Canis lupus familiaris: one gene and its partners. The protein of the gene in region 5 interacts with the protein of the main gene of each other region in a pairwise test. Links are inferred from orthologs where the notes say so. Each region holds a gene or a part of one and is shown on either strand. Other genes may lie near its edges.

The links.
Region 1: the proteins of HMG20A (region 5) and SCNM1 interact in binary tests that used the Homo sapiens proteins (3 or more experiments, as listed by UniProt). The two-hybrid records come from large-scale screens. The link is inferred for Canis lupus familiaris from reciprocal best matches to the Homo sapiens genes HMG20A and SCNM1.
Region 2: the proteins of HMG20A (region 5) and HPCAL1 interact in binary tests that used the Homo sapiens proteins (3 or more experiments, as listed by UniProt). The two-hybrid records come from large-scale screens. The link is inferred for Canis lupus familiaris from reciprocal best matches to the Homo sapiens genes HMG20A and HPCAL1.
Region 3: the proteins of HMG20A (region 5) and RPP30 interact in binary tests that used the Homo sapiens proteins (3 or more experiments, as listed by UniProt). The two-hybrid records come from large-scale screens. The link is inferred for Canis lupus familiaris from reciprocal best matches to the Homo sapiens genes HMG20A and RPP30.
Region 4: the proteins of HMG20A (region 5) and DTNB interact in binary tests that used the Homo sapiens proteins (3 or more experiments, as listed by UniProt). The two-hybrid records come from large-scale screens. The link is inferred for Canis lupus familiaris from reciprocal best matches to the Homo sapiens genes HMG20A and DTNB.

The regions. Positions count from the first base shown.
Region 1 is NC_049238.1:60,886,420-60,892,518, reverse strand, and holds SCNM1 (sodium channel modifier 1), read right to left. Parts: upstream 3,569-6,099; 5' UTR 3,425-3,568; coding exon 3,374-3,424; intron 3,163-3,373; coding exon 3,092-3,162; intron 2,859-3,091; coding exon 2,770-2,858; intron 2,695-2,769; coding exon 2,597-2,694; intron 2,476-2,596; coding exon 2,387-2,475; intron 1,750-2,386; coding exon 1,555-1,749; coding exon of another isoform or gene 1,411-1,554; coding exon 1,311-1,410; 3' UTR 1,250-1,310; downstream 1-1,249. Other genes in the region: TMOD4 (tropomodulin-4), read left to right, coding at 1-61, 1,409-1,572; LYSMD1 (lysM and putative peptidoglycan-binding domain-containing protein 1), read left to right, coding at 4,305-4,484. UniProt on the Homo sapiens protein: As a component of the minor spliceosome, involved in the splicing of U12-type introns in pre-mRNAs. Plays a role in the regulation of primary cilia length and Hedgehog signaling.
Region 2 is NC_049238.1:7,250,266-7,256,362, forward strand, and holds the start of HPCAL1 (hippocalcin-like protein 1), read left to right. Parts: upstream 1-2,529; 5' UTR 2,530-2,821; intron 2,822-6,097. UniProt on the Homo sapiens protein: May be involved in the calcium-dependent regulation of rhodopsin phosphorylation.
Region 3 is NC_049249.1:5,714,821-5,720,780, reverse strand, and holds the start of RPP30 (ribonuclease P protein subunit p30), read right to left. Parts: upstream 3,569-5,960; 5' UTR 3,197-3,568; coding exon 3,115-3,196; intron 1,782-3,114; coding exon 1,726-1,781; intron 942-1,725; coding exon 885-941; intron 486-884; coding exon 411-485; intron 1-410. UniProt on the Homo sapiens protein: Component of ribonuclease P, a ribonucleoprotein complex that generates mature tRNA molecules by cleaving their 5'-ends. Also a component of the MRP ribonuclease complex, which cleaves pre-rRNA sequences.
Region 4 is NC_049238.1:19,926,904-19,932,985, reverse strand, and holds the start of DTNB (dystrobrevin beta), read left to right. Parts: upstream 1-2,514; 5' UTR 2,515-2,532; intron 2,533-3,735; exon of another isoform or gene 3,736-4,065; intron 4,066-4,396; exon of another isoform or gene 4,397-4,513; intron 4,514-5,078; exon of another isoform or gene 5,079-5,158; intron 5,159-6,082.
Region 5 is NC_049251.1:39,351,820-39,357,825, forward strand, and holds the start of HMG20A (high mobility group protein 20A), read right to left. Parts: upstream 3,546-6,006; 5' UTR 3,334-3,545; coding exon of another isoform or gene 2,495-3,333; intron 1,466-2,494; coding exon of another isoform or gene 1,404-1,465; intron 1-1,403. Other genes in the region: synaptojanin-1-like, read left to right, coding at 1,404-1,465, 2,495-3,333, 5,465-5,553. UniProt on the Homo sapiens protein: Plays a role in neuronal differentiation as chromatin-associated protein. Acts as inhibitor of HMG20B. Overcomes the repressive effects of the neuronal silencer REST and induces the activation of neuronal-specific genes.

The DNA of each region.
Region 1 (6,099 bases), on a different chromosome or scaffold from region 5:
TTTACACAGCAGGGGCCACGAGCTCGGGCAGCCCAGGCCATGACCCGGAACAATGAACTACGTGAGTAAATACAAACTTGTTGTGTGGCGGAAAGGGCAAATAGGTAGTGAATCTGAAAGCTTAGTGACTAATGGCCTGTGGGCTGCCAAAGCAGTATTCACATGAGAAGTTTAAACCCTGTGAGAAAGTAGAAAAGTCTCCTGCCCCAAATTATACCTGCAGAAAGGTGGAAAAGAAGCCAGACATACCTGTTTGTGGGCATGGCATTTTTACTTGCCATGTGGGGTGGGTATGCTTGCTGGCCTAAGGCATTACCTCTTTGAGTCTGGCCAAGGAACTGGAAAGGGGAAGATGAGTACCTTTGCAGGAAGCAAAGAGATAAAACAAAGACTTGTGTTTCCTCTTTCCTGTTATAGGCCGCCAGCAAAAAAAGAGATAACGCTACCTTTTCCCTTTACCAACTAGAGCTGGGAGCCCTGAATACCTAAATCCTTCTCTCTCCCCTTTCCTGTAAATAAAGGCCCTTCTGTCCACTCTGCCTGCCTCCCTCTTTCCTCGGGCTTTGGGGTGGGAATCTTGGCGCTAACCCCCAAGGGTTACTGCCAGTTCATCAGGGGATTATTTATACTCTGGGGATCAGCAGGCAGGGAGGTTCAAGTTACTAGGCAGAGGTGGGGCAGCTCCCTCCCTTGGTGTTCCCTGTGGCCCTGCCAATGCAGTTAGTCCCTTCTGCTCTCACAGGGTACCTACTACCCCAGCCCTCTTTTCAGATACGGGTAGGGCCCCTGGTGTCTAACTACAACTTCATGTGATCTGAAGGAGGAAAGAACTTTGAGTGAAGGTGGGGAAGAAGGCAGACAACAAAAAAAAAAAAAAAAAAAAAAAAGAAGGCAGACAACATGAAGGGCAAAGACCTCCTTCTGACAGACTTATTAATAGGGCATTGGGCTGCATGCAGCTGACGCTTGGCAGTACTTTGGTTGAAGGTGGGGGAGGGGTCAGAAGTATGGGGAGCTGTGTACATTTCAGGGAAGAATGGGCCTGGCTGTCCTGAAATGGGGGACACCTGAAATGGGTGGCTTGGTTGGTTAATCAGAGTTTGACTCTTGATCTCAGCTCAGGTCTTGATCTCAGGGTCATGAGTTCAAGCTCTACATTGGGCTCCACATTGGGTGTGTAGCCTACTTAAAAAAAAAAAAAAAAATCCACCAGTGAAATCCTGAAATGGGGCAAGGAAGTAGACTTGAAGAAAGTTAGACTCCTGGAGCCTGCTGAAATTTATTTGTGAACTGAGGGGGAAAAGAGGGTATCAGTCTAAGGAAAGGTCAGGAGGTTCCTCTTCATCAGAGTCAAACTCAACATTCTCATCTTTTACCCATCGACCTTGTCCATCTGGGATCCATCCAGAGCTGCAAATAACAGAAAATAGAATAAATCAGGAAAAGAGGTTTAAGAAGTTAATGGGGATAAGAGAAAAACAATTGAGAAGGATTGAAATAAGAAAACTCAGAAAGAAAAGAGAAAACTTGAAGAAAGTGATTCTGCATACAAACCTTCGAAGGGTGAGGTAATGATCCAGGGCTCGTTTCCTCGTGGGGCTCATGGGCACAGGGGATGAGACAGTTGCTGACTCCTTGGCCTGTGGGCCAGCTCCAGGCATGGGTTCCTTAGTGATCTTCCCACTCTCAGGCTCAACCTCTGGGGGTGGTAAAGGGGGATGGGAGACAGAGGGACGAGGGGTTTCTGGTCTAGGTAGAGAAGAATCAACGTCTATAAAAGTAGTAAAGGAAAAAGGCCAATTCTCCTATGACTCCCAATCCCTTACAGAAGTGTTTCCTAAACTGTGTTCCTCAAGATATTAGTAAATGTCTTGCATAAAAAAAAGAATTTTGGAATCATATGAATTTTTAAAAGGCTAGTATAACATTTTGAGGGTTTTTTTTTTTTAATCTTTAGACTTTGTAGAGCCCTTCGAATATATTAATATTACTACTCTTCAAGTAGGATCACAAAGTGCCATTTCCTGGGGCACCTGGGTGACTCAGTGGTTGAGTGTCTGCCTTCGGCTCAGGTCATGATCCCGGGGTCCTGGGATTGAATCCTGCATTGGGCTCTCCACAGGGAGCCTGCTTCTCCCTCTGCCTATGTCTCTGCCTCTCTCTGTCTCTCATGAATAAATCAGTAAAATCTTTAGAACAAAAACCAAAGTGCCGTTTCCTAAACTTAAAAAAAAAAAAAAAAAGCAACATTCTCTTTTTTTTCTGAAATATCAGTAAACATCTCTGGAGTATTAATATTCCTGAGAATACAATTTGTAATACCTTTATCTTAGAGCCATCTATCTCCTCTGACCCGCCCTACCTCTGGCTTTCCCACCCCACAGACCTGTGCTTCCTGCGGCAGCAACTGTTATAGTGAGGAGCTCTGTGCAGAGCACTCTGGGTGGTAAGTCGGGTCTGCGTTAACAGAGGAGCCTGGTGTGGAGATGGGAAACACAGTCAGTGTCTTCAGAGCTAGAAAGAAGTCGAAGCCCTTCAAGCCTAAGATGTGCAGCAGGCCCACCCAAAACACACCCTCCCCTCCCTGATTACCTACCTCAGCCTTGATCTCTGACTGCCTCAATTCATTCTGCTGTCTTGGATTCTGCTCCATTCCCTTTACTGGCTGCTTCTTGCCATAGAAAAGCTGCAGGCCTGAAGGTAGAGGGGAAGAGAATTAAAAACAAAACCGCAAGAGTGATCTGCAGAGATTTGTCTTCCCTCACTTACTGGACAGATGTTTCTTGCCTGCACGGTGGGCAGTCAGCATGGCCAGGGTGTCCAGTACAGGTCGGTGGGGACAGATAGCACAAGCGAAGCTGGAGAGGAGGGTAGAAGATATTCGGTGCCAGGTGAGTGGGGTCTGGTTCCACCTGGACCTAGCAACCCTTTCCAAAACCAAACTCTAGGGTCTCCCAATTTCCACCACCCACATCCCTGTCCCTCATCCCCCATCAGAAAATCCTAGATACTCCCGCTCCCCCCTTGATAACAAAATTATACGAAGCCTATAACCGCAGCACCCTCGGGCTTGATCACCCCTCGCCCTCACCGTCCATCCCGTAGCATGAGCGCTTCATCCTCTGGGATATAACTGGCCAGCAGGTCCCCGACTCTCCGTTTCTGCAGGGGGTAGCCGGACGGGACCAGTGGGAGAGGAGGGAGGGGTCAAAGATTGAAAGGCAAAAAGGACCATGAGAACAGAGATCACTGGGCGAAGAAGGGGTCACTACCCAGCTCTGGTCGCGCCGGCCCCGCAGCTGTTGCCAGAGCAACAAAACAGCTCCTTCACGGGGCAGTGAAACTGTTCCCGATGCTCCCCTCTCGCGCTTACTTTGAGCACATTGAGTTGACTCGAATCATCCCCTTCCCTCTTGAAAGACATTACGACTGAGCTCCAGAAGCGAACAATTCTCCCGAGCCGCCTCGGCCACTCCTCTCAGGCCACCGTAGCGAGAGTAAGGCGTCTTCTCCCGTCGGGTTTCTTTCCGGTTGGCCTCCTTACTTCCCTAGATGCACAGCGCTCGCGGAAAGCCCGCCCACAGCCTGCGGAGCCGACCGCACTGCCCACGCGACCCGGCGACCCCGCAGGCGCGGGGCGTTTTGGGAAATGAAGTCTTTTTTTCAAAGGGCTTGCCACCCAGCTGGCTCCCGGCCCTTGCATCTTGGCTGATTCGAGGCGTCTGGGGAGACAAGAACTTAAATGTGGAGACCGACGTTGAGGCCGTGACGGATTTGCTGAGGAGCGGGCCTTGGAAGATCTCTGAGTGGAACGTGTAGTACAAACTCTCGCGGTCCTCACGCGCCTCCCTGGCCGCCGACAGCCCACCAGGAGGGGGCTGGATTTATTCCTGACACAAGCCGACCAACCCGGGACGAGGCGGGGCCGGGGTGTGAAGGGAACCTGGGAGGCGGAGGCTGCCTGACCTGGGGGAGAGGGGCGAGCTGAGCGGAGTGTGGAGGGTAACTACGGTTCAAAGGTCAGAGTTCATAGTGGTGGGAGGGTTGAAAGTCAGCGGGGTGCTAATAAGGAGAGACTCTGGTAGGGACTGGATCCTCGGGATACAGATTCGTGGGAAGGCGCCTGGGAAGCGGGACAAACGAGAGCCGCGGGGGCGCGAAGTGCCGGGGCAGACGGGGGTTTGTGAGAGGAGACGGGGGAAAGGAACCCCCTGGATAGACGTCCCTCGCCCCCAGCCCCGTGGCTGTCGGCACTTAGCCAGGCCTCCCTCACTTGCAACCCCAGCTGCCGGCGGGGTGAGGAGATGGCTTCGTCCTCTAGACAGGCCCCCCTCGGGGGGTCAGGACTGCTACAGGGGAGCCGGGCTCGTTCTTACGGAAGCCTGGTGCAGTCAGCCTGCTCCCCGGTGAGGGAAAGACGCCTGGAGCATCAGCTGGCCCCCGGAGACACCCTGGCTGGACTCGCACTGAAATACGGGGTGACGGTGAGTCTTCCATGGTAGGGATGCAGACAACCACTCAGAAGAGATTATTCCTCATTAGAATGTAATGACCCGGCTAGGCAACTTCCCCTGAAATTTCCTAATTGTGTTGTGGTCTGACCCACCTTTATCTTTTTGTTCTCCCATCTCAGTGTTGCCTTGTCTGGTTGGGACAGACCCTGTGCCACTATCCGGGTGGAGAGGAGCTGCTTCTATTTATGCCAGTCTCTATTCTAGAGGTTTTACATACATTGGCCCATTTGGTTCTCCCATCCCCGTCAAGCATACGTTTGTTTACAGATGAAGAAACAGACTTAGATTGGTTAACCAATTTGACCAAGGTCAAATAACCAATGAGCATTAGAGTGGGAATTCAAACAGATCTGACTCCAAAGCTCGTAATATTAACCACATGGAAACTTTTTAATTGCAAGTGATTAAACATTTACAGCAAACAGTGGAGAGTTGGTTTCTAAGGTTCTTTGTGAGACCAGTGCTCTAACCACTCTAGATCTAAGTTGTTGGGTTTTTTTTTTTTTTCCCCAAAGATTTATGTATTTATTTTTGGAAGAGGGGGAAGGAGAGGGGAAGAAGGTGGGGAAAATCCCAAGCAGACTGGCAGGCAAGCATGGAGCCCCACATCCATCCCAGGACCTTAGCTGAATTCAAGAGTCTGTTGCTTAATCAACTAAGCCACCCTAGTTCTAAGTTTTTAAAGTCTGTCTCTTCTAGTTCTTTTTTACTCCTCAGTGCTCTGCCTTCTTTCCGTAGGGTGGCCTCCATGGTGCAAAACAGATACTCTTAATCAACTAAGCCACCCTAGTTCTAAGTTTTTAAAGTCTGTCTCTTCTAGTTCTTTTTTACTCCTCAGTGCTCTACCTTCTTTCCGTAGGGTGGCCTCTATGGTGCGAAAAAGATACTCTACACCAGGCATTTCAGGCTGTGCATGGGGTATATTTGATAGCTGTAAAAAATACATTGCATTGAAACTGATTAATTTTTTCCCATATCCTGTCAAATTTAGCCAACATTTATTTTTATTTTTTATTTTTTTAATTTTATTTTTAAGATTTTATTTATTCCTGAGACACCGAGAGAGAGGCAGAGACATATGCAGAGGGAGAAGCAGGCTCCCTGCCAGGAGCCTGGTGTGGGACTCCATCCCGGGACCCCAGGATCACACCTTGAGCCAAAGGCAGACACTCAGCCACTGAGCCACCCAGGCATCCCTCTTTTTATTTTTAAGTTATTTTTTTAACCGACATTTTTAAAAAGATTTACTTATGTATTTATTATTTTAGATCACAGGGTGAGGAGGGGCAGAGGCAGAGAGAGAGGGAGAGTGAATGTCAAGCAGACTCCCTGCTAAGTGCAGAGCCAGATGCTGGGCTCTATCTCACCACCCTGAGATCATGACCTGAGCAGAGAGCAAGAGTCAGATGCTCAACCCACTGAGCCATCCAGGCATCCTTAGCTAACATTTCTGTGCATGGTATGTTTAAGCACTGTTGTAACCAGACCAAGAGATCAAAACATAAATAAAATGTGTAATTGTTGCCCTCATATAATTTGCAGTCTAGTGAGAAATGTAAGGGGGAAACAGGTAATGATTGCAGGT
Region 2 (6,097 bases), on a different chromosome or scaffold from region 5:
TGTTTTTTGCTTTGCTCTAGTTCATGAAATTCAAAAGTACTTATCGAGTAACTACTATGTGCCCTTCCTCTGAAAGAATAAAAGGAAGAGGTCAGGTTGTATCTCACCTGAGGGAGACCCTGCTCCTTTAGAAGTTCAGGGAAGGGGGAAAAAAGTTCAGGGAAGGGAAATGCATAGGAGCTGAGAGGTCAGAGCCGGTGAAATCTGAGCGGAGCCCTGAGGGGTAGGTGGGTTCCAGATGGGTGGGAGAGAAGGGCCCAGGCAAAGGCCCCGAGGCCCACTGATAGGCGGGGTCCAGGATGTGCCTCTACCCACCTCTGTACTCCCTGAGATTCCTCTACCTGCCTCGCTCGGGATCTACTGAGCTTTCCCCTCCTCCTTATATTTCAAGACCCAGTGAAACCGTCACCTGCTCTGTGAACCATTCCTGACCCTCTCCCCCATGAGCTGATTTTGCGGCGGGGAGAGGGGGCACGGCGAGCTATAGCGCAGTCCTCGATGACGGTGTTATCATGCCCTATATGGATGTGTGTCTGTTGCCCTGTGACTGGGCTGGGGAGACCCGTGCTCTGAATCTGTGGCAGAGACACTGTGATGTGCTCACCCAAATGACCGTTTCCTCCTGGGCACAGAGGAAGGCTGTGATTGCCGGACCCCTTGCAGCCCGGTGGCACCAGTTCTGGTCATTGACTGCGGACCCATGTGATGTGTGCCTCCTCCAGGCCTGGCTCGCAGTGACCTCCCACCCCCACCCGGAGACCCCCAGCTCGCACTATCCCCTCCCTTGTGGCTGGCTGGGAGTCAAGGGGTTGGGGGAGACCTCAGAAGCCCTGAGGGAAGAATCTCTAGATGGGAGAGATTCTGGTGGAATCTCCAGATGGAAGCGGCTGGAGTTCCTGAACATCGGGAGTGTTCCCCGAGGAGTCTTCCCCGAGCCCTCTGACTTAGCCCTGAACCGCAGCCTGAGTGAGAAGTGGGTCTTACGCGTGACCCCAGCAGCACTAGCCTATGCCAATCAACCCAGTATCTGCAGTCCCCCTGCTGATGGGCCTGGGCTTGACACGTGGCTGGGGGCCTCTCACCTGTAACCCCACCCTCTGCACCGACATACTCAGGGAAACCTGCTCAATGACCCTGGCCCCTGGTCTGCTGAGAAAAAAGGGTGCTGCCCCTGGGTACCAGAGCTGCTCTGTGTGACATCACCACAGCCCCATACCGGTGACGGTGACGGGTGACGCGGGCGCTCACAGTCATTATTGTATTTAATCCCCACAGCAGGGCTGCCTAGGAGACTAACTCCCTCTGGGGTTGCCTTTGCCATTTGCTTGCTGAGAGAGGGGTCTGGGCTCAGACCACCTTGCCAGCCAGCAGAGCTCCCCCTCTCAAGCCACCCACCAGCATTGCTCCCTGCAGCCTCCTGTGTAGTGGGAGTTCACTCACCGTGTTTTTGTGGAGGAGGATTTGCAGGAGGATTTGAGTTTTCCCCTAGAGACGCCAGAAAGACAGTCTGTCTCAGCCTAACACTAACGCCCAGCTCCACATTCAGGGCTGTTTCTGTGGTTACCTTTCTTCGGGGATGTTTGGGGTGGGTGGGTGGTGGTAGTGGTGGGTGTGTGTATATATTTGCTTTTTCCAGGGCCCAGATTTTCAGGAGCTACTGGGGCGAGGGGTTCTGGGAAGCACAGTCCCTCATTCCTTCCCTCAGGGAGGTGCCTTCGGAGGGGGACAGAGGAAGTCTACAGGAAACACAGGTTTGTCTCTCCCTGCCACCCAGGCCGCCTGTGTCTGGGACCAGGATGTCAACCAAGGACCCGCAGCCCGTGAGGGAGGGAAGGGCCCCGGAAGAAGCCTGCTCCGCCGCCTGTGCATTTTATAGGTGGGGAAACCAAGGCCGCGGGAGCCTCAGGGACTTGCTGAAATCGCCCAGAATTGGCAAAGGCAAGCAGAACTGGAACTCAGGCGTCCCTCCTCCCGGTCCTCCGCTCCTTCCCCGAAAGAGGCAGGCGCGGTTGGTAGGGCGTGTCTGCGCAGGGGACTGGCGGTGAGGGTGCCAGAGGGCGCTGGGAGACAGCCTGGGGCGACTCCGGCCTCTTCCCTTTCTGGGCCACCCGGGCCGCACTTCCTGCAGAGGCCGGGGAGGGGGGGCGCGGAGCTGGCCCCTCCCGGTGCCGCCTCCCCGCCTCTCCCACGCCCGCAGGCCAGAGGCCAAGGGTTAGGGAGGCGGCACCGGTGCTCGGCTCCGCTCCGGCCCCGAGATCCGCCCGGGACCGGGACCGGGCTGGGGCCCGGGCGGGGCGGAGGGTGCAGCGGGGAGCAGGCTCGGAAGCCCGCACCCCGGGGCCGGGAGGGGCGTGGCCAGGGCCGGGGGCGCGACCCACGCAGGCAGGTGGGCGGGGCCGAGCCCGGGGGCGGGGCCTGGCGGGGCGGGGCCTGGCGGGGGCGGGGCCGCAGGGAACTCGAGCGCCGGCCCCGCCGCACGCCCCGCCCCCGGCCCCCGCCTCCGGGTCCCGCCTTCGAGTCCCTTCCTTCCCGGCGCTGGCAGGCGGGCCGCGGCGGCTGCAGGCGGCGGACGGGCGGGCCGGCGGACGGGCGGGCGCCTCCACCTCGCTCGCTCCCTCGCCGCCGGCTTCCTTTTGTCTTTCTGGGAGGCGATGAGCGCAGGGCCGGCGCGGAGGCTGCGGGCGCTCGGAGGCCCGCGCTCCTAGCCACCCCTCCCGGCCTCGGCGCGCTCGTCCCGGGCAGCGGCCCGCGCCCGCCCCAGCGCCAGCCGCGCCGAACTTGGGCTCGGGAAGCCGGCGGACCGCGTCCTGCGCCGGAGCAGGTAGGGCTGCGGGGAGTGCGGGCGTGTGCACCGGCGTGAGCTGCGACCCGGCTCTCTGCGTGTGCGCGCGCGCGTGTGTTGGGGTGCCTCTGTCTGCGTCGTGGAGTTGTGGATGACCGCGGACGGTGCTGTGTCCCCGGAATGGCGTGTCCTAGTGGGGATCCGTGTGTACAGTGGGTGTGCACATTTTGGGCTGCGTTTGTGGAATTGTGTGTCGGGGCGCAGTTGCTGGTGTGAGCGGCTGCGCGTGGGGCGCGGGTGGCGGGGTGGGCGTGGGCGGGCCAGCCCTGCCTGCGGAGCCCTCTGGCCCCCGCCGGCCGGCGCAGTGCGGAGCTTCAGGCCACCCCCCCCTCCCCGGATCCCGGGGAGCTAGCGCGGGCCTCTGGGCAGCCTGGGTTCGCCCCGCCGGGGGGCAGGTCCCGCAGCCCACGTGGGTGGCAGGTGCGCTCCCGCCAGGGTAGGGGGCGGCGGCCATCCTCTCCCTGCTCACTAGGCCCAGGGGCGACGGCCGAGCCCTGCTCCGCAGTTAGGAGCCCTGGCCTCGCCGTGACCCGCACTGCGACCTGAGCCAGGCACGCCACCTTCTCTGGTTGAGGTTTGCTTCTCTCCCTCGGGGTCTCTCATGACATTTAAAACGAGAACGCGCTAAAGATAGCGCTTGGCCCAGCGCTTGGCACACAGTAGGTGCGTAAGTTAATTGCATTAGTGTCAAAGAGTGTCTCTTTTTTAATCCTTTTTTCCCCTCTTTATCGTGGGTGGTGCTATTACAGCCCCCTCCCGCGAATGTTGTGTGCCTCCCTCACGGCCCTAACTTAACCGCGAAGCACCGAGATTCGAGAAAGTTTGGGCTGCCGGGTGCGCCGCCAGCTCTGCGCACCTCCCGGGCGGCGCCGCCTCGGGTCTGCAGGAGCGCGCAGCGCCCAGCCGCGAAGGCTCCGGCGCCCGAGCTGGGGGTCCCTCTCCTGGCCAACTGCGGCGGCGGCTGCTGGAATCGGGAGCCTTTTTGTTCAACAAGTGCCTAGTCCCTGGGGCTTGCAGCTCGCGGAGTCTGGCGGCAAGGGCGTGAAAGTGGCGCTCCCCGCAGAGACGGACCTTGGGCTCCCAGGGCATCCCGGCCGCCCGGTCAAGCAGAAGGCATCCCCTCCGCTCCCGGCCAACGCCGATTCCCCCTGGAGGGGGGTGTTTGCCAGAACCGCCAGTCCTGCATTGGGGCCTGGCGCTGGACACCCTCTGACCCTACCCCCACCCATCCAACTGCGGCTCTGTTGGATCAGCCTCGCGCAGAGGAGGCCAAGGGCCAGTGGGATCCTTCCTCCTAGTCAGTCCTACACCTTAATTTTTAAAATATTTAGTTTGAAGCCTACGGCCGTGTAACATTGAACTGCAGTGAATGTGCGCACCCTCTAAGCACGATTCACTCTCAGGGAGAGTCCTGCCAACCGCAGCATATCGCTTGCTCAGACCCAGCGGGGCCAGCTGGCCCTGGCTGCCCTGCTGCCTTCTGCCAAAGCTGGTGATTCCTTCCCTCCCTCGCTGTGGTTTTTTTCTTCCTCTCAGGACCCTTCCCAGTCGGAAACACAAATAACCTTTCACCAAGAGAGCTGTGGACCTCATGGTGCGTGCTGCTCTCAAAATGGAGCATCTGCATGGGATGGGGCTGGGGGCATGGAGATCATCAACTGGGCTGTGCGGAGGCGTGGGATGCATTTCCTGGGATCACCTGCTCCCGGTGGGTGTGCTCAGGGAGCTGGAATCCTTTGCAGGCTTTGATGACACAGGAGCAGAAACCTCTTGCTTGGTCTGTCTTTACCAGCACCTTCTGCTGAGGCCTCAGTGGTAATGGCAGGCCAGGGGATCAGGGGACCTGGATAAGCCAAATTTTCATCCGATTTGGTGTCAGGGCACACTTAGAATGCAAGCTGCTTTTTCTGTTTCATAAGATGATTTTATATCCAAGAGGAGAAAAGGGCTTTTCATCTGAATCCTACTCTCTTTCCCATAATCAGATTGAATAATATTGAAAAAAAAATCAGGCTGGCTTCGTCAGCTCAGAAGACAGATCAAAAGCTGGGGTATTTGTTGTTGTCGTTGTTGTTTTGTATTTTCCTGCTTAAAACCAGCCCTTTGTCTCAAGCAAAGCAGTGTTTTGGCCCTAGATCTATTTCTGTTTCACTTTTGAGAGCGCCTGTAATTACTGAGCTCTTGAGGTTTTATTGGATAATGTGCCAGAGGGAAGGCCCAGGGGCTCTGGCTCTCACTTGCCGTGGGATGTGGTGCGTTGTAGCCTTGCCTGCTCCCTTTGGGTTCCACTTTGATGCTTTTCATAAGGTGGAAAATAGATGTGAATGTGTGATAATAACTTGGGACACCTGGCATTGGGAATCAGATGCCTGGAAGCTCAGACTTGTGGAGACACAACAGGTCAAAACCCCAGAAGAACAGAGATTTGCCCAAACCCTAGCCAGTGATCCATTCATTTCCAATAAGCCTTCTAGAGGGAAACTCTGAGATATAAAGGAGCTTGGACTAATTCCTTCAGAATTTATCTTAATGCCCCTTTCTGGCCACTGGGTTGTGCAGAATTAGAAATACAAGCTGTTGAGTGACAGGAGTGGACTCACCTCTGCATACAGTCCCCATCCAGGCCTCCTCCTTACCGAGCTCTGTCTCTACCTGGAGCTGCTCTGGAGTTTCATCATGGTAAAGCAGTAGTGCTGTCTTTCTGGGCTCAGACCCACTGCCTTTGGGGCTCCACATGCATGGTTCCTAGGGTTGCCTTTTCGCAGAAAATACCCTATTGTGTATTTGTGTGTGAGGCAGTCTGTCTCCCCCTTATGCCTACCGTCCTTCCTTATACTTCTTCTAAGACCTAGTATTGCCACTCATAAGTGGTGAAGTGCCCAGGTCACTTAGGAACCAGTGTTAATCCCTGATACTACCAAGGAGCCCCAGAGTTTATTTGGCACCGGAGAGTAAGCTATTTGGCAGCTGAAATTTTATCTAGATCAGGATCAGGTTTGTGTTAGAATTTAGCATTCCAGCAAGCCTGAAACCAAGCTTGTTTGTTATGGGATAATGCTTCTAATTTGTGAGTCGCTGGCCCAGGCCTGATGGGGGATTATGTGTATTTTGCTAGTTTGTCAGCCCTGGATGTCATTGTATGTGGAGGGAGGGCACTTGTAAACTTTAATCATGCTCTGTCTACTTTGGGATTCACTATCCTCCCACAGTCTCAGTGGGTTTCTTTGGTGTTTTCATGCCCATGTGTAGGGCTGT
Region 3 (5,960 bases), on a different chromosome or scaffold from region 5:
TGTTACACACTCCCAGAGCATCCTTTACTTATTACCCCCAACTATTTAAATATTCCTCACATTTTTAATTATCTGTTTAATGCTCGTTTTATCATTAAACGAACTTTGTAAGTTCAACAATTCTATCTCTATTATTCACAGCAATATCCCCAGGACCCACGTTACGCCTGGTTTCATGTGAGTTCAATGAGTAATAGTTGTCAAAGGACTCTTCAATTGTAGTATCCATATTAATGTGTCAATAGTAGAACAGACTGTTAAGCTATATGAATTCCGAAGAGAGGGAGAGTAGGCAGGTGTCATGCCTGGGGGCAGGGAATATAAGAAGGGGATAAGGTGAAAACACTGTTACAACCCTGTTCAACATTAACCAGTACAACTTACAAGGTCAAAAAGAAAAATTAACTTACCAAAACATTGCAGTGAGATGGATCCGAAACAATAATTGTCAGTCTAGTTAAAACTTTAATTGGTCTTGATTTTCCCTATAATCAAAAGCATTCCATCAAAAAAACTCAAAATACAAACAATCGATTTTCTTCTTTATCAGTGGAAAAGTGCTCACTGAAAGGCACCGGCAGTAAAGGGTAGTGACAATCAATAAAAACTACTCTTCATTCTCAAGGAATTTATAATATAATTGGCAAAATAAAAATATACATGTGTCAAACTACATAACAGGATTACTCAAAGGTTATGGGAACTTCAGGAAAGAAGATCGCCAAAGAAGTACTGAATTGATAGCAAAAGGAAGCTTCATGGAAGACCTGAGTCTTGTGGAAAAGTAAAACTGGTAGAGGAGGAAGAGTGCAGGGAAGAGAATCCTACATAAAATTGGACATTTCTGAATAGCTATTATGGTCCTTAAACAACAAGATACATACCTGTACCATTGGCAGAGTTGTAAAGAGTTCAGAAACAGCTACCGGTTTTTCAATTTCCTACAGTAAACAATGAACAGTCACCCTAGATTGTACATGCGAATGGAATGAAGCATAATGGAAAACTTACAAGGGGTTTTTGGAAAGTTAACTTCTGATATACAGAAACAGTAAATACTTTTTTTTTTTTTTTTAAAGGAAGAAAGCTGGACAGCCCCAGTGGCCCAGTGGTTTAGTGCTGCTTTCAGCCCAGGGTGTGATCCTGGAGACCCAGGATCGAGTCCCACGTCAGGCTCCCTGCATGAAGCCTGCTTCTCCCTCTACCTGTGTCTCTGCCTCTGTGTGTGTGTGTGTCTGTCATGAATAAATAAAATCTTAAAAAAATAAAAAATAAAAAGAAGCTGGAGAGCAGAGAAACAGCTAAGGACATCAATGGATATGTGGGGTGAAAAATAGCTTTTTGACTGAAATAATCTATAAGGTATAGTTGTTGGCCTGAAGATAAATACACATTTACAAGCATGTTTAAGAGGGAAATCAATTAGTAATGAGCCCATGTCAGTAAAATAAAAAGGACTAAATACTATAACTCAGTAACAATATACTTTTAAAAATTATTGAAAGTTATTTAATTAACATCAATTCAACTTTAAGAATCCTTCTACCACACCCTAATACTTCACAAAAAACTCTGCATTGGCTCAACTGTTAACATGTAAAATAATACAGTACACAAGAAAGTGTATTTAAGAAATATACTCATCTGCAGCTTCCATATTACCAATACGAATAAAAACAATTGTAAATTTTGGTTATTATTAACGTCAGAAATTGTTTTTTTTACCTGTTTCTTTTCCTTAAATTCAACAACATGATTGATGGCAACAACCGAATAGCCCACTGAAAAGAAAAATGGAACATTCTTGTTAAATATAACAACCTCTCTCTTGTACACATAGGCTCAACTCAGCTCAGGTCGAGAGCAGGGGTCTGTAGGGGCAGGGGCTGTGGGTTTGGACTGGTGTCAGACTTACCTCACACAACTGTCATGAGAAATAAATAAGGTAATAAGCATGGATGATTTAGAGCTGCACCTGGCACAGAGGCAGGGCTCTCTGACCTCTGTGATGTACTGTTAGCATGATACCTTTTTTCACTTGATCATTTCTTTTGCTTTTTACCCTTTCTACTTCCTTCAGAGGTACTTTTTCTAGGGAGAAATGGAGTAATTACTCCCTCACACCACTGCTCACTTCCCCTTCCCAGCTGCCCACCATCAGTAGATTGGGAACTCTGAGGTCAGGGCCTTGCTTTATCAGACTCTATACAGCATTAGTCTGGACACAAGGACTACCAAAAACATGTCTGAATCATGATTCCTATCTCTAAATTATTTAAACACCAATGGGAAGGACAAGGTACTGATATTAAAAGATAATGCATATTAATGCCAGAAGAGTGGTTTTTCCCTCTCCTCGGTTTGTCTGATTTCCTTCTTTCCTTCCTCCTTCAAATAGTTGTTGAGCATCCATTGCTTGCCATGCTCCACAGAAACCTCCTGATTTTTAAACTTCTCTATCCCCACACTTTGCAGAAGACAACAGTTATGATTAGCTCCAATAATTAAAACAGGGTCTTCTCTCTCCGGGCTTTTGCTTCCCTTGGATTCAAATGAGTAGCACTGCAGCATGGCGGCCTTGCTGTTCCCCTGCCACCCGCCTAGTACGTCTCTCCCCCCGCCCCACCTCCCGTTCTTAGATTATGCCCACAAGGTCACCCTCATGTCCCTCCGCCCCTTCTTTGAATTTCCACAGCATTCCCCGTCTGCGCCCAATTCCCCAAACTGCTCTGATACTACTGGGAGGCAGACAGAGGTGATACTAAAAGCACTGGTGTAGGAGATTTACACACTTGGAAGCCCTGGCTTCTGGCATCCTCTAGCCGTGGGGCTCTATGCAAATCTCCCATCCTGTCGGAGCCTCAGTTTTTTCAGTTTTCAGGGGGAGAAGACGATAATAGAACTGAACTAGGTAACAGCTCCCAAGTGCTTTCGAGTTTCCCGCGCCCGGGATCTAAGCAGCACCGCGGCAGCATCAGCTCGCGGGGACATATCCAAGATCCCAGGGGACCCGAACGAAGACAGGCCTTCGCGTCCCTCCTGAACGTGGCCTGATGGTCTGGGGGGCAGCGAGGCTGGGCAGGCACCGCGGCCCGCACAGCCGGGGAGACTCACGGTGAGCTGCGTTCTCCACCAGGCCGCGCAGCGCCTTTAGGTCGGAACCCGCTCGCAGGTCCAAATCCGCGAACACAGCCATGCTGAAATCCCAGGACCGTCGCGTATCCGTCTGCGCAGCCGCGGGGCCCACCCCTCTGGCATGCTGGGAAGTGTAGTTTACTCGCTCGGTCCGCGCCTTCCTTCGCTTGACCAAGTAGTCACGTTAGGGTTCGGAGTCCTCGCTTGGCCTTCGGGTATCTGCAAAAGCTGGCGTGTTGAGATCCACAGCCTCACTTCAACCCTTCGTTGCCTTCTGAATGAGAATGTTGGGAACTCTCGGAGGCAGGCGTTCACGTCTCCCATCTTTCCTCCTAGACAATATTGTGGAAAGTGATTCCTTCGCGAACCGGCCACTTCTGCCAAGAGCTAGAAGCACTTTTGAAACAGACGTAAGAAACTCTTCTAATCCCCGCCTCCTAACGTCCATCCTGTTGTTTAAACTGGGCTTATCAGGAAGTGAGAGAACTGAGCAGGCGGGAGACCTCGGAGGGAGGGAGGGAGGGAGGGAGGGGCGGGTCCGCAGCTCGCGGCTCTGGCTTCGGTCGGGATCTTCAGCCTCGAGATGGCAGGACCCTGGGAAGAGCCGAGAGCTCCGGCGCTGCCTGAGCAGGACAGGTTCGGCAGGGGACGGGCAAAATGGAAAGGTGTCAGTTTTGCCATCTGACAATCCCACACATTTGGCGTTTCCATATTTTTGCGCCTTATTTAAATGAACTCTTGAAGATTGATAAATGATCCGACAACGTAAGATTGTGGACCTACAGTGTGCATCGGTGCTTCTCAAGCTGCGACGAAGGGCCTGTCTCCCCTCCAGCCCATCCTACCGTACCCTGTCCCGCCTCCAGTTCTTCGCAGGCTCGTACGTGGTCCCTTGTACATTACGGGGTAAGCATCTCGGGGCCTCTTAAAACTGATTTGACAACAACCGAATTGCCCTCTCTACTCAGTGAAGAAGAAAAGTACATTGATTGGGGGCTTAGATACCCAGACAATTCCAAAGTGATGTAAACGTTTCTAAACAGTTTCAATTTCTGTACATAGATGGTCTCTGGTATATCGACCACACCTTGATTACACCTTCTTTACATGATTTCTTTCCTGATTTCGGAATGGAATTTTAAGAGGGCTCTGTTCCATGGGGTAGCATGCACTTCTCCTTTTGGTTAAACTTAACAAAGAAGAAATATTTTTGCTTTTTCTAATACTTGATATTTCCTAAGTAAGAACAGAGGAATTTTTTACTTCTGCAAAGAGAACAAGGTCATGCAAAGCAAATTCTTCTTTTCATCAGAAAATCTAGTGTTAATTTTGCAGGATCATACAGGCATCTTCACCTATGACCACAAAAGCTAGATTGGTCAGAAATGTGACCAATGTGTGGTGAAGGCGAGTAAGATAACTGATTCTTTGATGTCAGCATTAGATTAGAGAGGGCTTCTTTCTTGAAAAGTCATGGTGCTCTTGCTGTAAACTATACCATTTAGATTTCTTTTCTCATCTTCACCCCGGGGCTTAGGGGTAAAGAAGAAGAGATAGGAGGAGAAAGAAGATGAATAGGTAAGAGTCACTGAACACTTTACTGAGGGACATTTAATTTGGACAATTTGGTAAGTACTTACTTAGATATCTTATTTAATTTTCAAAGCAACTGTGAGTTAAGTACTGTTTTTTTTTTTTTTTTGCCTTTTTTTTTTTTTAAACAACATCTGCATTTTACATCTGAGAAATATATGTCTCAGGTAATAGTGATAGAAGAAGTACAGGAGGATCCGGGCAGTTTGGCTCAGTTTTCCTTTCTTGTACAATTTCCTGCACAAAGCAAGCAGGGACGAGAGTTAGAGGTTGTGAAGGGAGGAGGGAGAGAAGAGGAGGGGAAGGAAGAAGAAAATGGTGGGCTAGAGGGGAAAGAAGAGAGGAGGTAGAGAAGGATGTGGAAGAGGAGCAGGAGCATTGGGAAGAGGGATAAATAGTATGGGATAGTGACAGCAGAAAAAAATGGGAAGAAGGGTCAGAGGTTACCCTGCAAGGAAAGCTGAAGCAGCAAGGCTCTGGAGTTTGAAAGAGACCCTGAAAATTTCTGCCTGGAAAATAATAGGACTGCACAATTATTCTATGTACTTTGTATCCATTATCTCATTTATCCGTTTTATATCCACTTTGTATCCATTATCTGATTAATCATCACAACCAGACAATGAGGGAGAGAGATATTGTTATCCCTGTTATATCTAAGGTCAGAGAAGATGGATGGCTCTTGAGTCATTTTCTCTTCCTTGGGGAATTTAGAAAGAAAGGGTGGCTTGTGGCACCCAAAGCAACCTTTGAGCCCTTCTTGGTCTCCCCAAAGGCCTGTCTTTCTTGAGCTGATCCCCAAAAGTCAGCGTGTGTTCAGCTAATCTTCTACCTCTTTTCATTTGGTTCTCCTTTTGTGAGCACTCCACGGGGCTGCTGTCCTCTGGCAGCTTATGACTGAAACGGGGTGGGGGTGGCAAGGCAAGAAAGCAATATTATAACATGATTTACACAGGTGTTTCAGGAGCATCTGGCAGGGTCTTCTCTCCCAGATAGAGGGGGGAGTTTGGGAGATTTGGAGGAGATAAAGTCTGTTTTCCTGGATGAGAGAATGCTTGATTTAAATTTTGATGCATGGAATTGAGAAGTAACAGGATGCAGAGGTCTGGAGTTTATCCAGAACTAGAACAAAGCAGGTGGTGCTCAGTCAAAATTTGCAGATTTAATCAATGAAGCCATGAGCTCTTGTTTACCTTCATACCCACATCATCACAGCTGTGGCTGTTGGATGT
Region 4 (6,082 bases), on a different chromosome or scaffold from region 5:
AATCCATTTTATTTGCGATATAGTCACAGTCACTTCTTTGTGTATATAATATATATATATACTATATATATATTATATATATATATAGAGAGAGAGAGGCTTTTGTGCTTCAATAGCAGAGTTGAATATTAGACCTGCAAACCCCAAACATTTGCTATCTGATGCTTTAGAAAAAATGTGCTGAACCCTGCTTTAGGAAATACTTCGGATGGGCTTATGTGCATATTATTCTTTGAGTTCTTGGATTTTAAAAAGAGGATTTTTTTTCCTATAGAGTTTAATGCCTGAAAAGCAGCATGGATGGGTGGGTACAAAATCCTTAGCTTGCATCTTCTTTGCTCAAGTTTTTCAAAAATGCTGCATCACTATTGCCTTGCTTTGCTCTTGAGAAGTCTGATGCCAGATATTTTCTTTCCCAGATTCCATAACAAACTATTTAGTTTGAAAAGTAATGGCTTAAAGTGAGAACTATTTTGGATATAATTTCACAATCTTTAGGGTCAGGAATTTGGGTGGGGTTTGGCTGGATTATTCTTCTGTTCTACATAGCTTTGACTGGGGTCACTGTGTGGTACCCCAGCTGATGGCTGATCTGATATAGAGCATTCATGATGACTTCACTCACATCAGCTAGAGTCAGCTAGTCTCTCTCCCTCTCTATGCTATCTCAGAGTCTCTCCACAGGGAGTTAGATTTTTAAAAAAGATTTATTTATTTTAGAGAGAGAGAGAGACAGCAGGAGTGGGAGGGGGAGAGGAAGAAGGAGAGAGAATCTCTTCATGCTGGAGTCCAAGAAGACTCCCCCTCTGAGCACAGAGCTGGAACAAGGCTCCATCCCAGGACCCTGAGATCATAACCTGAGCCGAAACCAAGAGTCAGATGCTTAACCAACTGTGCCACCCAGGTGCCCAGGGGAGTTAGATATTTCATATTGTGCCTCAGGGCTTCAAGAGCAAGTGTGCTCAAAGACCCAGTGGATTCTTCAAGACTTCTTATGAAGTCTTAGAAGTCCTGTATACTGGGGATCCCTGGGTGGCTCAGCAGTTTAGCGCCTGCCTTTGGCCCAGAGCGAGATCCTGGAGTCCCAGGATTGAGTCCCACGTTCGGCTCCCTGCATGGAGCCTGCTTCTTTCTCCTTCTGCCTCTCTCTCTCTCTCTCTCTCTGTCTCTCATGAATAAATAAATAAAATCTAAAAAAAAAAAAAAAGTCCTGTATACATCACACATTCTGCTGGTCAAGCAATTCTCTTGGGCCAGCCTGGATCAAAAGAAGGGACACAGAATCTGCAGACATCTTTAATGTACTGCAGCCTTAGTACATTAAGTAATTTGAACTTTTTGCATGGTGGCTTTGAAAACTATTATTTTTGTCTAATAGTTTTAAGAGGCTAGCTCTTAGAATCGATCACTCTGATGGTTTCCCCCAAGTACAAGGGGGCTCTCTCATTATGTAGGTTTACATTTTCTTATTTCAAGAAAATTTCATTATTTGTCCCATTATTTGGCATTCCAAACAGAGAGAGAAATAAGCACAAAGGTCTGCAGGCAAGGGAAAGGAGGAACATTCCAGGAGTTTGGATGGGATTTGTGTAGGAAGTGACAGAGAGGAAGTGGGGAGATAGACAAAGGATAGATGAATGGATGGTTTTGCGTGCCATGCTGAGCAGTGACATATGCAGGCAGCATATTCTGGGAAGTGTTTTCTGACATGCAGTATAGAATATGGAATGAAAGGAACGAGACCACAGGAGAGGGACAGGATCAAAGCTATTACGTTAGTCTAGGTGAGAGGCTTAGCCATGAGGGACAGATTCTAGAGTTCTTAATGAGGAGAATCAACATGATTGTTGAGTGTGGTGGGGACGGGAAGGGAGGAATCCAGGATGACTCTCAGGTTTCTGAACTGGGCAACTGAGTGGACAGTAATGCAGAACAGTTTTAGACACATAGGGCTTGGGGTGGCTGGAGGACATCTAGGGGAAGAGGTCCAGAAGGTGTTTGTCTGTGGAACTCAGATGAGTGGTCTGAGCCAGTAATGCATTTGAGAGTTGCTGGTATATGTGATGGATGAAGACAGGGAGGGGGTGGAATGGCTTCAGGAGATTGTGTAGGGTGAACCGAACACTGAGAACAGAACTTGGGAGACTCAGGAGTGGTCAGCAGGGTGAGGAGGTGAGTCATGTCATGAAGGCCAAGGGAGTTTCCAAAAGAGTGGAGTGCTTTGTGTTGCCAAGTGCCACCAAGAGCCCAGTGATATGAGGACTCAGATACAGCCTGTGACATTTGGGATTCAGCAAGCCCTTAACGATGGATTGGTGCAGGGATGTGGTGGGGACAGAAGTTACATTGTGTGGGTTGACGAGGGAGAAGCTGCTGAGTTGGCAGAGATGAGTGCAAACTACTTTCAAGACATTTGTGAAGGGAAATAGAGAAAGGGAGCAAGCAGTAACTAGAACACAATGCAGAGGGACCGAGGGGTTTCTTGTTCTGAGGACAGGAAAAGCCTGACTATGGCAGATGGTGATGGAAAAGGTAAGAGGGTTTGATAATTTTGAGAGCTTGAGGTGGGGCGGGGGGCACGATCGAAATATGTCTGAAAGGAGTTTTCTGAGGATGTGGGAGGTAATGAGGTATGTATGATGCTCATAGAAGTGAACTTAATTCCCAGAATGGCTTATTATAGTCCAGCTCTGGTACTGAAATTACCTTGGTTTCAATCAATACGGCAAATATAGCAAACAATATCGACATATTTATTTTACATCATTTACACATCTTTTCTCCAAAGGGTAGGATCAATGTTTTACCCTTTCAAAGCCTCCCACATAGTTGGTGCTCAGTAAGTGGTAAATGAATAAACAAGATGTCTCTTGCCTGTATTCTGAGTATCTCAGCATATTCAGAACACAGTCAAGACCCTGCACACAAGCGAAAAAGCTTGAAAAAGCTTGCATGCTTAGAAGCATCCAAGAGTCCTAAAATCCATGTGTCAAAGTTGATGTCCTTTCCTTGAGGAACCTGTTTACCCTCACTTATTTCCTTCACCCTGGGAGTTTAAAAATAGGAAAATGAGAGGAGGAGGAAGAGGATGTTCTAAAGGCAGTCAGGCAGGCAGACAGCAGCAGGAGGTGGCACGATCTGCCTTACCATAAGGTGCCAAAAAGCAGTGAAAACCCAGGCGCACAGCATCCTGGCTTGGGGGCTCTTTGCTTAGGGACTTAACATCCCGCACTCACAGTGCAATTATCCTTAAAGGACACTGCTGATTTGAGCCGTAAGCAACTGTGAGAAGAACGATCCTCTGAACTATCGAGAAAAAGCTTAGCTGTTCTTATTTCGAATCATCTCCTACATTTCACACACTTTGGAAAGCATTCTGTCAAAAATGAATAATATTAAAACAAAAAAGCTGATGTCGAGATGGTAAATCTGGGTCCGGCTCCGTTCCCTCGCCCAAGCTGTTTACCCAGCCTTGGACGCCCTTTTTTTTTTTTTTTTTTTTTCTCCTCGGACGTGTTTCTTTCTCTTCCTTCCAGTCGGGACACAATTGCCACCTATTCCAGGAACCCCCTCCACTTGGTCCAAGCGGAAGTAATCTCTTCCTCCTCTGCCCTGCCATAGCATCTCCTTGTGGGCTTGGCTTTGCCTGGGTCACCAGCCCCGCCTGTTTACACGGCTGCTTTCGTACGAAATTATGCGCACCTCGAACCAGGGGCCGTGACCGCGACGGCGTACCTGCGCAGCACCTGGCAGCGAGCTAAGCGCGGAGCCGGCGCTCACGAAACGCTCGCTGGGTTGAACTTCATTTGGGAAGATCCCTCAGGGCAAGACCTCTCGCCGGAGGCGCGGATGAATGATTCATGGGGTGGTTCTTTGCATTCTTCACCTTCGAGTCACGGCGCGCACAGTGTCCAGCTGCCCCGGCACATACCTGTGGAATCGAAACGCACCTCCGCCGCCAGCGCGCGGGACCAGCCGGAAGGGGGCGGGTTTCACCCCTCCGCGTCCGCCAGTCGCGGGCCCGCTGGGGGGAGGGGAGGGACGGGGGAGCCGGGTCCCGCTCGGCCGCAGGGGGCGGGGCTCGGAGGGAGCTCGGCCCGCTCGCCCGCCCCCTCCTCTGCGAGGCGGAAGCCCCGCCCCCGGCCGCGCGCTCGCACAGGCGGCGCGCGCCCGCCCCCCGCCCCCCGCCCCGCGCCCCGCGCCCCGCGTCTCCGCGCCCCCGCGTCTCCGCGCCCCCGCGCCCCCGCGCCCCCGCGCCCCCGCGTCTCCGCGCCCCCGCGCCCCGCGCCCCCGCGCCCTCGCGCCCTCGCGCCCTCGCGCCGGGGGCGGGCTTGCTGCGCGTGCCGGGCGGGGAGACGGCGCGAGCCGGGCGCCTGAGAACGTCCGCCGCGGGGGCGGCTCCGGGGCCTGAGCGGGCTCCGCCGCCACCTCGGCCGCCGGGCCCGGGCCGCAGGAGGCGCAGGAGGCTGCGGCCGCCCGAGACCTTCGCGGCGTCCCCAGCTCCGGCCGGGAAGTGAGTGCGGCGGCGGCTCGCGGCGGCCGCGGGCTGCGGGAGGGCGGCGGGGTGGGCTGGAGCCTCGCGCCCGCGAGGAGCGGGAAGGAGCCTCCGGGCGGCGGGGGACGGACGGGGCTCGGGGAGCCGGGGCCGCTGCACCGCGAGCGCAGAGTCCGGGGCCGGCGCGGCTGGGCTCGGAGCCCCGGGCCGGGGAGGGGTCCCCGGGGTCCCGAGCGCACCGTGGCCGCGGGGCGCGGGGCCGGGCTGCGGGCGCCGGGCTGATGCTGCTGCTGGAGGAGGAGGCTGAGTTAGGTGCTGTGAGGGGCGAAGGAGGCAGGTCCTGGCAGAGGGCAGGTGAGGCAGTTAGGCCCTGGCAGAGGGAAGGGACTGTATCTCAGCTCGCCCCCAAGCACTGCTTGCGGAGGCGCCTAACCGTGCTGAACCCGTGCACCGAGGTCACCCTCGAAAAGAAGGTGTCCTGAGAGCAGGCGGGGTGGAGGTAACAGATGCTTGCCGTTGAATTCCTGTGCCAGGCCTTGGGATTAGGAAGACCTTCCAGCGCTCCTGGCCAACGTTTATCGATTAGCTACCTGGGGTAGAGAACCGCGGTCAGCAGCTGGGGCCACGAAATAGTGTAAAACACAGCCGTGATCTGCCGTGTAGGTAGGTGCTGACGATTTGGGAGCGAAGGTGTGTGCATGTGAAATACAAAGTAGCATTGAATTTCGTCTCACACTTTATTCACTTTAGGTCTTTTTTTGGGTCTTTTCCCAGTGTTGGGAAATTGGAGCTATAAATTGCTTGGTTTGGAGATAAAGCAGAAGAGTCAGAGGAGCTTGTGGGGGAAATTTGAGAGACTTCGAAGGCAGTTCTGCCTAACATTTAAAGGGGGGAGAAGGGAAGAAGAAATCTGGAAAGAGAAAAGAAGTTACCTTCCTTCCCTCCTAAAAAAAAAAAAAAAAAAAAAAAAAAAAATTTATTGGAGTTCAGTTCTCCTAAAATTAAGCTCCATGACTATAGCTGCTAAATCCTCAATGACAAGAACAGTGCCTGGCCCACAGCAGTCAGGTAAAAAATATTTATTGCGTGAACCAATGAACCAAGCAAGGCTTTGCTGTGTTTTACACGGAGCAGTATTAAATACTTAGATGTTAAGAATGGCTGATGGGATTCCCGAGATTCTTATTCTTATTCTTATTCTTATTCTTATTCTTATTCTTATTCTTATTCTTATTCTTTTCTTTTCTTTTCTTTTCTTTTCTTTCTTTTTCTCCTCCTTTTTTCTTTTCCCCTTTCTCTCTTCCTCTTCTTTTTTTTTAATATTTTGGTCACATAAGGTAACCCAGGTTTCTAGGTCTGGGTATTTATTTTTTATTTTTATTTATTTTAATTTTAATGTTTATTTCTTTTTATTTTTTTTATTGAAGTTCAGTTTGCCAACATATAGCATAACACCCAGTGCTCATCCCATCAAGTGCCCCCCTCAGTGCCCATCACCTAGTCACCCCATCCCCTCCCACCTCCCCTTCCACTACCCCTTGTTCTTTTCCCAGAGTTAGGTGTCTCTCATGTTCTGTCACCCTCTCT
Region 5 (6,006 bases):
TTCTGTTACACTGCAATTCTTCCATGGAATAGCATAAAGACCCAATTAAAAAAAACTCCTTTGCTCTCTAGTTTCCTAAAAGCAATACTACTGTATCTCAATCAATATTTAAACTACATTTTCTCTATCTTTTTCATTTAAAAGTTCCACGATCTTTGCTTACTGCAGTAATTCCTAATACTATAGTTTAATTTGTCAGGGTGATCGTATCACATTTTCTTTTATACTTTAATAATATGGAAGACAGTGAACACTTTCTGTCCAATCAATTAATTAATACTTGCTTGAGGCAGTCTACATGTCCCTAACCTTCAATTAATAATAACATAGACATTATCGTGTCTTGCCTTTTCAATTACTGCAGAAATTCTGTAGTCTTTCAAAGGATAACTCACTGATTTTAGGGTCTTAGATTTTTTTCCCCCAATGTTTACATAAGGTTAAAACATGTATTTTTTCCCTTACTGTAATATTTAGTTTAAAACACATTTTTTCAGGGATCCCTGGGTGGCTCAGCGGTTTAGCGTCTGCCTTCGGCCCAGGGCATGCGTGATCCTGGAGATCCGGGATTGAGTCCCACACTGGGTTCCTTGCAAGGAGCCTGCTTGTCCCTCTGTCTGTGTCTCTGCTTCTGCTTCTTTTTTTTTTTTTTTAATTATTTATTTATTTATGATAGTCACAAAGAGAGAGAGAGAGAGAGAGGCAGAGACACAGGCAGAGGGAGAAGCAGGCTCCATGCACCGGGAGCCCGACGTGGGATTCGATCCCGGGTCTCCCGGATCCCGCCCTGGGCCAAAGGCAGGCGCCAAACCGATGCGCCACCCAGGGATCCCTCTGCTTCTGCTTCTGTCTCTCTGCCTCTCATGAATTAAAACAAACAAAGAACCCCACATTTTTCTAATAAATAATAATGGCTTTTTCAAAGAACTAGAATTAAGACAATTGCAAATTCAGAGGATAGAATAGGTAACAAATCCCAAAGGAAAAAACAAAACGAAACATGGGCCTTATGCTTTTAAAAATCCTTTAAAGACCTTACAGTTTACTTGATATTCTAAAATCACTACAAAAAAAATTAAAATAAAATCACTACAGTTGAGATTTCATAGGCTCCAAACGGATGGATTCCATTAGTACAAACACACACACCTGTGATACTTGAAAGGAGAAGACAAGAAAAATTGAGTGTTTATTACCACTTTACACATTGCTTCTTATAATAAAACACTGACAACACAGGAAAAAAAAAAAAAAAAGTCCTGTCTTACCCATCTTCTGTCCTCCGTGAGCCAAATGCCCTGCTTGCTTAAAACCTGAGTACCATGATCTCCGCAGCATGGTTTGCAAACAGAAAGGGCAGATACCAGGTTTTCATCGGGGCTGAAATTACTTAAATTACAAAGGTGGAGGGGGCGGGGGAATGTATCGACCTACAGCTGTCCCAGGAGCTCCGTGACAGGGACAGGTAAGAATTTTCAGGCCTGAGGAAGTAAGTGGTTTTCAGCTACAAGGCGAAAGCTGCCGCCTAAAATCAACAGGTGTAGGAGCCGAAGAGCACTCGGTATGGGTTAAGGGGACACCAAAGGCTTCACCCCTGCCAGGTGAAGATGCCTCCCCGCTCTGAGCCAACGCGAGAGTCCTGGGGGCAGGCGTGGGGCCGGCGGTCGAAGAGGCTGGGACACTTGCCTCGGGCCGGGACACCTGCTTCCGGCTGGGGCCAGGACACCTGCCTTGGGCTGGGACACCTGGCTTGGGCCGGGACACCTGGCTTGGGCCGGGACACCTGCCTCTGGCTGGGACACCTGTTTGGGCCAGGACACCTGGCTCAGGCTGGGACATCTGCTTCAGGCTCGGGCTGGGACACCTGGCCCCAGCCGAGGCACCTGGCTCCAGCTGGCTCAGGCTGGGACACTTGCCTTGGGCTTGGGCCGGGACACCTGCTTCGGGCTGGGACACCTGCTTCGGGCTCGGGCCAGGACACCTGCCTCTGGCTGGGACTCCTGCTTGGGCCAGGACACCTGGCTCAGGCCGGGACACCTGCTTGGGCCAGGACACCTGGCTCAGGCCGGGACACCTGTTTGGGCCAGGACACCTGGCTCAGGCTGGGACACCTGCTTCAGGCTCGGGCTGGGACACCTGGCCCCAGCCGAGGGACCTGGCTCCAGCTGGCTCAGGCTGGGACACTTGCCTCGGGCTTGGGCCGGGACACCTGCTTCGGGCTGGGGCCAGGACACTTGCCTCGGGCTGGGACACCTAGCTTGGGCCGGGACACCTGCTTCGGGCTCGGGCCAGGACACCTGCCTCCGGCTGGGACACCTGCTTGGGCCAGGACACCTGGCTCAGGCCGGGACACCTGCTTCAGGCTCGGGCTGGGACACCTGGCCCCAGCCGAGGCACCTGGCTCCGGCTGGGACACTTGCCTCGGGCTTGGGCCGGGACACCTGCTTCGGGCTGGGGCCAGGACACCTGGCTCAGGCTGGGGCACCTGCTTCAGGCTCGGGCTGGGACACCTGGCTCTGGCCGAGACACCTGCTTCGGGCTCGGGCCGGGACACCTGCCTCCGGCTGGGACACCTGGCTCGGGCCGGGGGCACGGAGGGCGCGCGGACGTGCCGGAGCCGAGGGGGTCTAACAGCGCCCTGCGAACACCTGGGGGAGGAGCTGTTCCCTCCTAACGCGGGGAGACAGAGCTCCCGGATCCGGGCGGGAGGCGGCGGGCGGCGGGCGGCGGGCGACGAGCCACGAGCCACGAGCCACGAGCCACCGCCGACCCTCCCGCGGCGCACACGCCCCCAACCTCAGGACGCCGCGCCCGCCGCGCCGCGCGCACCACGCCCCCGCCCCCACCGGAAGCGGCTCCGGCCGCCCCTCCCCCACCGGAAGTGGGGCGCCCCCGTTCGGGCGGCCTCAAGCCGAGCCGAACCGGCCACAACGGCCAAAGGAGACGGCGTTGGGGGGGCGCGGGGCCGCTCGGCCGTGGCCACCCCGCAGCCCGCCCTGCTTACCGGCCTGCTGGCGGCAGGGGCAGGCGGGGACGGGGCCCGCAGAGGCCCCCGCACGGAGGACAGTCCCCTGAGCCCCTCTCGGTCGCCTGCACTCCGCTCGCTGCGGCGTCTCGCGGCGGGGGAAATTCCTCCGCAGCACTTTCTTTCGCTATCTTTCCTTTCCCTTCGCCCGGCCGCTGAGCCACCTCCCCCGACGCAGCCTTCCTTGTCGCGATGGCGTTTAGAATTGCTCCGGCGAGGAGGAAAAGGGACTATTACCCCCCGTACCTTGAGAAAAACGAAGGGATTATTTTGTTCCAATGCGGCGAGGGACTACGTGATGACGCAAGGTGAGGCCGGCTTTCGCGGAGCTTCCTGGGAGATGTAGTTTTTGACGTCGCTAAGGCCTGCAGAAAGGACTCGGTAATTACGGGATGCTGGGGGCCCTTGGAAACACGTGTTTTGCACTCGACGGCAGGCTGGCCAGGGGGCTTCGGCACCGAAAGGGCGAACGACCTGCCGCCCTTTCCGTCTGGGACGGAGCGGAACCCGAATTTCCCTTGGCTTTAGCCCAAGGGCCCGGTCGTCCCGCCCTCTTCCCTCGGCCACGCCCCCGCCGGTCAGTCTGGAGCCCTCATAGGCTGATGGTCCGGAGGTGGGCGGGGCCCCGCGGTGGCCCCTCCCCCGGGCCCGGGGCGAGCCCGGGGAGACGGCCGAGCGGGGGCTCGTGCGCGTGCGCGTGCTCGCTCCGCGGGGAGCCGCGGCGGGTGCGCGCGGAGGGGCGGCGCGCGGGCCGGGAGGAGGCGGGCGCGCGGGCTGGTGGGCCGGGCGGGCGGCGGGCGGCGGGCGGCGGGAGCGCGCGGCAGGCTCGGCAGGCTCGGCGGCGGCCAGTAGTTAGTTACTTGTTAGTGTCAGTTGCTCGGCGGCGGCGGCCGCGGTCACCGGGCGGGGGACGGGCCGGCCGGCGATGGTGGTCGCCCCAGCGGCACGCGCGCCTTCCAGGTAACGGGGCCAGGGCTGCCCGCGTCCCCTCGGTCCCCTCCCCGGCGCCGGCCGGCCCGGGGGGCGAGCGCTGCCCCGGCGGAGCCCGGGCGGGGCGCGCGGGGTCGTGGGGCGGCGCCACGGGGGCGCAGGCGGCCGGTGCGTCCTGCCCGGTGCGGGCTGTGCGGCCGCCCCGAGCCCCGCCGCCCCCTGCAGCCCCCCCGACCCCCCTGCACTCCTCCCCGGGGCCCCGCCGCTCCCCTGCAACGCCCCCCCCCCCGCTGCCCTCCCCGCCGTCCTTCCCCCGTCCCCCTCTGCACCCCCCGCCGCCGTCCCGAGCCCCGTCCCCCCCTGCAGCCCTCCCCGCCGCCCCCTGCACCCTCCTCGCCTCTCCCCTGCACCTTCCCGCCGCCCCCCTGCACCCTCCCCGCCGCCCCCCTGCACCCCTCCCCGCCGCCCCCCTGCACCCCCTGCACCCTCCCCGCCGGCCCCCCGCCCCCCTCCCCGCCGTCCCGAGCCCCGCCGCCCCCCCCCTCCGCCGCCCGGAGCCCCGCCCCGGAGCTCCCCCCGCCCCCCGGCGAGGACGGCCGCCCCGGTCGCCCGGCGCCCCCCAGAGGAGGGAAAGTTGGAGCTGGCGCAGGGGCGCCCCCGGGCGCGGCGGGGCTGCCGCTGGGGAAAGTGCAGCTGCGGGGGCTGGACGCGGGCGCTGCTGCGTGTCGGCGGCCCCGCTCGGCCCCGGAGGCTCCCCCGCCCGCCCGCTCTCCTGCGGGCCGCGGCGGCTGGTCTCGTCCCTCGGTCGCCCGCGGGCTCCTGGGTCGGGGCTACTTTGCGACCCGCGGGCGGGAGGGCGGGCAGCCCCCTCCCCCCTCCCTCCCCTCCCCTCCCCTCCCCCCCCCCCCCCCCCCCCCCCCCGCCCCGGCCGGCCGAGGGCACGACTTCGGTGTCGGCCCCAGCGCTGCCCCGGACGCGCGTGGAGGCGCGGAGCCGGCCTCGTGGTGGCGGCCTCGCCCCTGGAGCCCGGCACGCCCGGCCCGCTCGCGGATCGGGGACTTCCACCCGGGCCGCCGACCTGGGCGCCTGCTGCGGGCCGCGCCCGCCCTCCCCCTCCCCCGCGGGGACCCCGACGCGCCCCCCGGCTCCGGCTCCGGCCCCCGGCGTCCGCGGACACTCGCGCGGCGCCCCGCCCCCCCCCCAGCCCCCCTCGGCGCCCGCGGCGGGCGCTCCCGGCAGGTGGGGCCGCCCCCGGCCCAGGCCCCCGCCCGGGGACTCCGGCGAGCGGGAGCAGGGTGCCTGCCATTGCCGGGGAGCTGGGCCATGACCAATTCACCAAGTATGCGAAAAACAAACCTCTTTCCGTAGCTGTCAGAAGGGGAAATATTTTATCATGTCTTTATTTTGGAGACTGTAGCTTGATTATATTACATGGGGGGGAAAAGCCTCAAGCCCTTTTCCTTGAGGCTGGTGATGTGTGGTCCTTTCCATCCCCTCTCTGCCATTTAGGAGCTGGTATTTCTGTTTGGCTGGGTCCCAGTAGGGGAAGAAAATATTTGGGCGAAAGGACAAGAGAAGATTGCTTCGAGCTGTTATGATGAGTATTCACTTTACCCAGTGATAGTGCAGAGAAAAACTTCCTTGCTGATGTTTGGGCCCCATTAACATTCTGTCAGAATCCATTTTTAAGAGTCTACCCTGAGGCCCATAAAGAAGTAATGCCACTTTATAGCTGTTTCTGACAATCACATTAAAAAATGTGTTCCTGGAATGCATTATATGTGTACTCATATAAACATTTATCTTTGTACATTTATGGTAATGTAAATATTTAAGTCGGAGAGCTTAAAAACTTTTATTTGCTTATTTGCATACATGTTTTTCAACATCTAGCAGTGCCAACCTTATTTGCCAAATAAGCATCAGCCATAAATTCATGCTTTGGCACATTTCATATAATAACTCTTCTAAATTGCTCCATGGTGAAGCATCATGAGATTAGCATTTGCTTCATGAGAGAGATTTGTTGTTGTTTTTAACTGTAATGATGT